2 linked regions of the Schizosaccharomyces pombe genome follow. The protein of the gene in region 1 interacts with the protein of each later gene in a pairwise test. Each region holds a gene or a part of one and is shown on either strand. Other genes may lie near its edges.

What was found. Proteins that work in one complex are often made in the same cells at the same time.
Region 2: the proteins of scs22 (region 1) and epr1 interact in a two-hybrid assay, tested with the Schizosaccharomyces pombe proteins (one study listed by BioGRID).

The regions. Positions count from the first base shown.
Region 1 is NC_003424.3:4,477,100-4,481,522, reverse strand, and holds scs22 (VAMP/synaptobrevin-associated protein family protein), read left to right. Parts: upstream 1-1,571; 5' UTR 1,572-1,611; coding exon 1,612-1,801; exon of another isoform or gene 1,802-1,973; intron 1,974-2,030; coding exon 2,031-2,146; intron 2,147-2,227; coding exon 2,228-2,881; 3' UTR 2,882-2,884; downstream 2,885-4,423. Other genes in the region: SPOM_SPAC17C9.11C (zf-C2H2 type zinc finger protein/UBA domain protein), read right to left, coding at 1-365, 511-618; nuclear proteasome tethering factor Cut8, read right to left, coding at 2,885-3,673. UniProt on the Schizosaccharomyces pombe protein: Vesicle-associated membrane protein-associated protein (VAP) implicated in maintaining the cortical endoplasmic reticulum (ER)-plasma membrane (PM) attachment.
Region 2 is NC_003424.3:2,423,837-2,428,786, forward strand, and holds epr1 (ATPase co-chaperone protein), read left to right. Parts: upstream 1-1,979; 5' UTR 1,980-2,354; coding exon 2,355-2,443; intron 2,444-2,577; coding exon 2,578-3,631; 3' UTR 3,632-3,696; coding exon of another isoform or gene 3,697-3,939; 3' UTR 3,940-4,131; downstream 4,132-4,950. Other genes in the region: ribosome assembly protein Rsa3, read right to left, coding at 3,697-3,939; tRNA m(1)G methyltransferase Trm10, read left to right, coding at 4,184-4,950. UniProt on the Schizosaccharomyces pombe protein: Reticulophagy receptor required for autophagosomal sequestration of endoplasmic reticulum (ER) membranes during ER stress. Confers resistance to ER stress by promoting the autophagic degradation of the ER (ER-phagy or reticulophagy).

The DNA of each region.
Region 1 (4,423 bases):
GTAGAAGACGAATTGGCATTTTTAGGCTGCTTGATGGGAGCAGCCGTTTCTTTTACAGAAGAATTCTTATTTTCCCGTTCTGCAGCTCGTCGTTTTTTATCGCGTTCAATTTCTGCGAGGATTTTCTTACGCTGCTCAGCATCTTCAGCCTTTTGTTGACGGATCTTTTGCAAGTCACGTAAGCGGGCTTGATCCTGCATCTTTCTCATAGCCTGTGCAGTTTCATCATTGGATTTTTGAAGGATTTTATAATTTGTCTTCTTCTCTTCCAGAGCCAAAATCCTTTCTTTTTCCTTTTTCTCCTTTGCTTTCTCTCTTAAAGCTTCAATAGCTTGTTTTAACTCTTCGGGAGAACGCTTCTTAATCTATGTTTTATAATCGTTGTTAATAAAAAGAAAGGATCGAGTGAAACAAATTATTGTTTTCGTGAATTATAATAATAAGGATGGTTAACAATTCGAACGCTTCAACCATTCAGCAAAAAGTAAAAGGAGTAAAATCTATACATACCTCTTCTTCAGTTTCCTCAAATTGATCATGACTGGTTTTGGTACTATGAAATTCAGCCATTTCGATGGAGGAAAGCAATTTATCGCATTCCAAACATTTCAAAACCATTTTTGTGTAGAGTTTGTAGTTGCAAAAGGCAAATTACAATGACGCTCAAAAATAGCCCTACGTTCCATCGACTCAACATCTAACGTGCTAATATCTACAATATCGTATTACCAAACATCGCAGTTGAGAGCATTATAAATTTGTTGGTCATTGAAATAGAAATGACAGGTCAAATGAAACAAAATAATTGTAGTTACCACCGATTACGCTATGAATTAGAAGAATAAATGATTGTATATATTGCACGACATCCGCAGACCGATGATTGAAAATGATTACTGACTTTCGTGATCCTGTAGTTGGCATCCACTCGAGTAATTCGTTTCCTTTATACATGGTATGCTTTCTAAAGCATCGCTGATATTCCTTGAAATAAAAATGTTGATTTTTCCCTAGCATAATGACCATTAACGAAAGTATACAATATCTATTTAATGATTGTCTAAACCAAAAAACGTATTTCCTTTGAATAGAAAGTGTAAACGAATGCGCAATTTTTTTTTGAAATCATAATGTTTACTTCATCCTTGCATTCTTAAGTTGTAATTAAGACAATTCAAACGCATTAACATGACATTTAGAAATTAAAAAGGATAACTTGAATCATCCTTTTTGGGTATTTATATCATTTATTAATTTCACAAACAATAAATCCATATACTTATTGGGATTTTATAACCATACTGCATTCGTACATTATTCACCTACTGCAAAATATTTTTTAGCATATATTACTTTTTACTTTCAAAATATCACATTTATTTTAATAATATCGTTATAAGGCTTTGTATAATATCGATGAAAACAGTTACTTGAATAATTATCTCCTTTTATTTCAGTATCCATATATTACCATAATCTTTGCTCAGCCTCGGAAAATCACACACAAGTATGTGTGACGTAAAGCCACGATTTTTGGCTACACTGCGAAATGGTACTTCGCAGAGTAAAGTAGTACCACCTCTCGCAACAAACTCGCCTTTCCCGTAAATCATGGCTCTTGAATGTGATAGTACAATTGTGTTTCCTCGACCACTTACACGACTAGTAAAATGTGATTTAGAACTTCGCAATACTGCACCTTATCCGATCGGATTCAAAGTGAAAACTACTGCTCCTAAACAGTACTGTGTGAGACCCAACGGTGGTCGAATTGAAGCCAATTCGGCTGTAAGTGTTGAAGGTAAGATAATTTATATTTAATTTTGAACCTCATTTGCATTTTTTGATTTTATTCGTTTAAGCGGTTCCCATCATTGATGTTGTCGGGTGGAACAAAAACGTTGTCATCAACGTGATTTTCTTTTGCAAACTAACAGTTTTTATTGTTTTTGTGCGTGCACTGGAAGATAATTTGTGCTCATTAGTTATTGCTGTAAATTTTCATTTACTAACTTCTTTTTTTTTAATAGTTATCCTACAGCCTCTAGATCACGAACCGGCTCCTGGCACAAAATGCCGCGATAAATTTTTGGTCCAGAGCACTGAATTGAAGCCAGAATTACAGGGAATGGATATAGCAGATATTGTATGTGATAAAAGATATACTTACATTTACTTTTTTAATACATGCCATACATAATTGATGTTCTAACCAATACTTTAATAGTGGACTCAAGTCAGCAAGGCTAATATATCGGAACGAAAAATTCGATGTGTTTATAGTGAAGGCCCCAGTACTGCAAATGCTCATGCTAATGCTCACCATCAACCAGCTCAAACAACGACTACATCTATTCCTACTTCTGCCACTGACAATTATACCACAGTAAATGGTAATGTTAATCAATCTTACTCTAAAGGAATAGACGGAACGGCACTTCCTTCGACCCATGCAAATCCCGTAGCTGCTCCATCTACAGCTACTACACAGCATACCCAGCTTCCTAAAACATCTGCAGTTTCTCACCAGAAGCCCCATGAAGCCCCATCTACTGCCGTAAAAGCTCCTACTGCAACAGTCGCTGAAAATGAACCTTACCCAAAGCCTCAGTCAGTGCCTACTACCACTTCTCCTAACAATGAAAATAATGCATTAAGATCTACCGCTAATGTAATTAATAACACAAGACAATCAACAGCTACGAGTCCATCTATGTTCGCTGGAAACAGTGGAAATCAAATAGGACTTGCACGCGTTTCATCGTCTTTTGGGCGTCCGACTAGTGGTGCCAAGGTTGTTCCTCAAATTCATAACACAGTTACTGTGCAAACCGCTTTCCTATTAGCCATTATATGTTTCCTTATAGGCCTTCTGTTCTAGTTTTTAAATATATTGATGCATACTGTGCCAACCCATTCCATTGTCATTCCCAATGTTCATACTATTAGTATGACGATGAAAATTGTTTTGTGGATTTGTTTGTTGAAAAGTATGACTTCTTTCATGTACAAGTGGCTCATTTTTTTGTAATTGCTTAAGGTAATTTAATGCCTCTTCCATTCTGTTTTGTGATGTTTTATTGTGCTCTTCCAACTCTTCCAAAGGTAGTAAAGGGACTACAGGCCGATCCTCAAGTTGTCTTAAAACAACAAGCCACGCGCCCGTTAATTCATAGTACGCTTGACTTTTATAAACATTATGGTTGGGATTATGGAATTCTGGCAGTTCGTGGACAACGTTTGTAGCGGCATCAAGAAAAGTAATATTTTTCTCAAAACAAGTAGAGTATGGAGGTAAATAACAAGGAACCATATCATTAAGCGCATGTAAGACAGCCATGTACTTTTCACGAATTCTATTAAATGCGTAATCACCCCTCTTGTCACCACCATAGGGAAATGAGTCATTCAAGTTAATTAAAAGTTTACGCAACGTTTCAACACAAGTATCCATGGACGGCGCCGGTAATATGCCCCGTATATCACGTGCGAGATCAGGATGCTTTTCTACACATTGTAATAAAATTGTAAAAAGCTGTTGTTTGTCTGAATATTGTAGCAGTCTCGACAATGGCAGTTGCTCACCCACAGGTAGTTGACGAGCACGCTTAGAAATGTCTTCGTCAAAATCAGCTTTGCGTTTCTTAATCTGAGAATAAGATAAGGTCTCCATGAATTAAGGAAATGAACAGTAACAACAAATAAAGATACCAACTTCAAACGTGAAATCGTCTGATTAATTATAACAAAGAAAATGAAAATTACAAAGAAATGGATATTCCAAAAGAAAGAGGAAAAAATTTCAAAAGTAGTAACAATAAAACAAAGATAGAGGATACTTTGTTAATGAGCTTCCTTTTTTAAAAGCCGGAAGGATGGCTATTGCTCAGTGTATCGACTTATGAAAGCTAGCAATTTAATTTTTTTCTCAGCCCAAATGAAATAAAACCGTCGATTATAATTTCTATATTACAAGAAGCTCTATTGCCCGCAATACCAGCTCAATTAGAACCTCGATTTCTTAAAAAAGATAATGGAAAATGGTAAGAACAATTTAGTGGCTCAAGAGTTTTCTTCTCATGAGACGTTACCAAACTATTACTTAATTCCTTAATTTGTTTACTGAAAAAATTACATTTTATTTAATATAATGTCACCGCAGCTGAGTGTCAAGCCTACAATAATATGTTAACGCAGTACAGAAAATCGTTAAGTTGGAAGAGCAAAATAATAATTTTTTTCGAAGTAATTGTGCGTATGGATCAATGTTATAGTCAATAACTATTTAACTAATTGTTGTTGGTAAACAGTAGTCAATTCTAACTTATTGGTGATGCTAAAAATGAAAACAAAGCTTCATTTCAACTGATCATAGGCAAGTAATAAAAGCAGGGGGTAGACTTTACGTTCTTGTGTCGACGAT
Region 2 (4,950 bases), 2.1 Mb from region 1:
CCTTGCAGTCCTTTCGCATCCTTATATTGCACCGCGTTAGACGACGCAAGGTGGCAAACCAAAGCATTTCCCCCTGACGTCATAAAAAGAGCGGAGGAACTTGCGGTATAGGTAATACTACCCAACCGCACTCGGGTTCGCAATGTTATTAGTAAACGGCCTTCCGGTAAGCCTTACAGTAAAAGGAAAGGAAGCAGGGGCAATTGGAAGACCAGCAGTGGTACGAAATCTTCCTTAGCTTTATAGAATGAGGCTTGTGCTGATTGTCAACAATTTGCTGACAATGTGTGAAACGTACAGAGTTGGGTTGTTGAACAAATGTTCTGTAGCACTGTGCCAAAAGAGAAAAAATAAAAAAAAATAAAAAAAAAAGAGAGATAAAGGATAGTCGGTAAGAAGTTGAGCCTCTTTGTTTTCCTCTTTTTTGTATTGTTTTTAATTTTGTATGTATATGATAATAAGTAGGTATCTAATTATATTTGATTGATCCGATTAAACCGGACTATGACTGTAATAACCATTTTATTCACGATTAGTTAACGGTGTGCCACAAAAAACTAAAACAGATAAGGGCAAGTTTCGTATGGAATTATTGTACATTATCGTATTGAGTAAGTAGATAAACGTGTTTGATGACTATAGACATTAAAAGGATTATCGAGATTGTAAAATTTTGGTTTTTTTACAGATTAGAAAAAAAAAGAAAAAAAAAAAAAAAAGAGGAGAAGGACATGTTGCAAATCCGTGAGTCAATAAAACAATTCTGGAAGAAGCAATTTTTTAGTATTCACAATGTAAAGGAAAGGACGACAATTACAATTTCATTGAATAATCCCAAGCTATAGGAGAGACTTAAAACGAGTTTGAAATATTGAAGAATATAGAAGGATAAGAAAGTCGATTAGTATGAATTTTGAGATTCTATTAAAATATGAATAGCAGCAATTGTTAAACTATCAAAATTTTTCTTTTATTCATTATACAATGCTATTTACTTATTACGGTGAAAAACTAACACGTCAACCTCAAACAATTTAGGATTTAAACTTTCGCTTTCCAATCAAGTTTAGATTTTTATTTTCCCTAAAAGTAGTCTTCTCATTTGCACATGATTTTGTAATGCTAAGCTTGGGGTAAATGAAAGAGACCTCCCTTTTGTAAAAGAAATCTGCGTAATGCTTATAACATCGGGTCGTAATTGCTTGACTCAATAATGTAAACAAATTTTGTTAAAACTATTTGTCCCTTGAAGAGGCAGTGTTATATAGTCAGATTAGCAACACAATATATTAAAAACATCGAGGAAATTTGCATTAATAAATGCGAAATTTTCGTATTCTATATGAGCGAAACCTTAGCTAAATAGTATTGATTAACTCAGAAAAGACCAAGCATTCATAGCGAAATTAACATGAAAATTCGTGATAATAGCCTTGCTACATGAAGGCAAGAAGTTCGTTTGTTTTTAAGCAATGCAAGCATGGCATTATTATTAGCGCATTGGCTTCTTCTAAAAAACACAATCTTACATTTTAATTCGGTTGTGGAAAAATTTGATCTTTAGTTCAATGTCTTTTGTAAACTGATAATTTTAACTTCATTTTTTGGAAATGTGCATTTTGCTAATGCATATATAGCAGCAAGACCTTAAATAACAATATAAGTTTTCATGAGAACCATGTTTTCTTAATTAAGAAGACAGTAGTTTGTAAACTGTATTAAGATTATACATATATCAATATATGTTAATATATATATTTATTCATATATTCATTTTTTACAAAAGTGATTTTTCGGATTTCAAACTGTCTAAAGTTTGCATGTATAGAACACAAATTTATTTAGGGTTCAAATGATTTCGTACACAACTTTAACTTATGTTTCGCTTGTTGTATTTATTTACTTCAGCATTGGCGAGACGTGAGGGACCACACCATATTATGTATTTGCGGGTTTGTCAACACAGATTTAATTTACCCATAGCATATTACTTTATTTTTTAGCATTAACAGTATTTTGATTCGTTGTTTCTCGTCAATTCGCCTTTTTGTCTCTTTCTACATTTTTTGAAACACAGTTGGGAGCTATTGTCGCCGGTTTGTGAGAAAGATCACCATTTTACATAGAACGTACTGAAGGTATTGTATTTTGGCGATTGAACGGGCAACTCTCAATTTTTTTGCTTTTTTTGTATTTCAATTGTAGAATTGAATTGTTAGTTTATCACAAGCAATCTCAATTGCGGTTGATAATTCATTCCACTCCTCGGCCTTGGAATTTTGTCTTTGAAGCTACTTTATATAAGTCTTTTACTGGTTAACTTATGATTTTATGCAAATTATTTATCACCAATCATGAATAACCCTTTTAAGGATATGGATTGCTATGAAATCTTGCAAGTGAATCATGACTCTGACTTGCAAGAGATTAAAGCAAATTACCGGTATGAAAACTTGTTTTCAACTTAATCAATCAACATAGAATATAAATTTACAGCTTTTCGATCTGTGATTAAAACATAATCGTTTAAGTTGTGAAGAATTGATCGCCTTTGTGTATCTTTACTAATCATAACAGAAAATTAGCTTTGCAATATCATCCCGATAGAAATCCGGGCATTGAAGACTATAACGAAATATTTTCCCAAATAAACGCTGCATACAATATTCTCTCTAATGATGATAAACGAAAATGGCATGAAAAAGACTATCTAAGAAACCAATATTCTGTACAAATTGAAGACGTTTTGCAGCATCTACAAACAATTGAGAAAATCCCTTTTGAAAGCACCTCAGCGTTCGTTGAAAGACTGCGACAAGACGAAAAAATAGCGGGTTCCACAGACGACCTTCCAACTTTAGGGGACACAACTTGGCTTTGGACGTATGCCAAACCTATTTATCAAAAATGGCTAAGATTTTCAACGAAAAAATCTTTTGAATGGGAAGCTCTATATAATGAAGAAGAGGAAAGTGATGCAGCTACACGGCGATTAATGAAGAGACAAAATCAAAGGCAGATACAATACTGCATTCAGCGATATAACGAACTTGTCAGAGATTTAATAGGAAAAGCATGTGATCTTGATCCACGGAGAAAAAACGTTGTGAAACTAAGCGATGGAGAAAGATACAACTCCCTACAAGAAGCATCGCGAAAGCAAAGTGAACGTGATCGGCGTCAGTACCAGGAAACTTTTAAAAACCAATCAATTGCGTCTTGGACAATAATCGATCAGGAAGAAACATCCAGCGATGATGAATCTTTGAGCAAAGAAATTGTGAATTCAAATCCAATAATGTGTATGGTTTGTAACAAGAACTTTCGATCACAAAATCAATTGGAGAACCATGAAAACAGCAAAAAACATAAAAAAAATTTAAGGAAAATGAACCAAGAAATAAAAAAGCACGCAAAAGAAGCCCAGAAAAACGCGGAATCGAATAAACAACCCGAAGATGCTCCTAGCGAATCCCCATATTCGAACAAAGTTTCTTCCTCTGACTTCTATACGAGAAGTTTTGAGGAAATAGAAAAAACATTTACTTTTGTCGAAATCTCTGATAACGAGTTTTATACAGCATCCGAAGATGGTTTTTTGAACGAAGACGATAAGTTGGATCAAGATTAGCACCGCAAGCTTATCTTTTTTAATAGAATAATACAGGTCTGTTTTTTGCTAAGTTATATAAACCATTATTCATAAATTTTGTGACCAGCACGCAAACTTTCAATAAGCAATTGTAGTTTGTTATGATCAAAAATTTCCTTTTGCCTTAAATTGTCTAGCTCTTCTCCAAACTCTGAAGTAAGTTGTTCCATATATTCAGATAGTGATGGCTTTTCTGTTTCTTTTTTTGAAAATGTCTGAAACATAGGATTTTCAAGCATATTTGATACCGTCGATTTGTTATCGATTTTTTGATCGTTTGTTGCCATTTTTCAAAGCTTGTTTTGTCGAAGTTTGTAAATAATACAATTTTGCAAAATTTTTTTATTTTCGACTTCCTGAATCCCTTTATTACCCAAAGTTAATAATTGCGAGATTGGCGTAGTTACCAACTTTTTATACTTCACAACACTCTTACTTTTTCCATTAGATGAACAGCCTGGCTAGGTTCAAAATAACGATATAACTAGATAAATTTAGGCTATATTTTGACTGCAATAAAGTTGGGAAATTATGGAAAACAAAGACGCTTTAGATATTGGTAAAGATGACACAAATACTTCTGAAGCTGACGTTTCTAAAAATGAAACTCAAGAGCAACCCGTTCTTAGCAAATCTGCATTAAAAAGATTAAAAAGACAGCAAGAGTGGGATGCAGGTCGTGAAAAGCGAGCAGAGATGCGCCGGGAAAAAAAGCGATTACGAAAAGAGGAAAGAAAGCGAAAAATTGAAGCTGGCGAAGTAGTTAAAAGTCAAAAGAAGAGGATCAGACTAGGAAAGGTCGTTCCTAGTAGTATCCGAATTGTTTTGGATTGTGCATTTGATGATCTGATGAACGATAAAGAAATCAACTCTTTATGTCAACAGGTTACTAGATGTCATTCTGCAAATCGTACAGCTTTACATCCTGTAGAACTTTTTGCTACCAACTTTGGTGGACGTTTGAAAACCAGACAAGATTTTGTGCTAAAGGGGCAACAAAATAATTGGAAACGATACAACCCAACTACTAAGTCTTATTTAGAGGAATTTGAATCCCAAAAAGAAAAATTAGTATATCTTTCTGCTGATTCAGATAACACCATCACCGAACTCGATGAAGACAAGATTTATATTATTGGTGCGATTGTCGACAAGAATCGGTACAAAAATTTATGTCAAAATAAAGCGTCTGAGCAAGGGATCAAAACTGCAAAGCTTCCAATTGATGAATACATTAAAATTACGGATAGGAAAATACTTACGGTTAATCAGGTCTTTGAAATATTATCTCTTTGGTT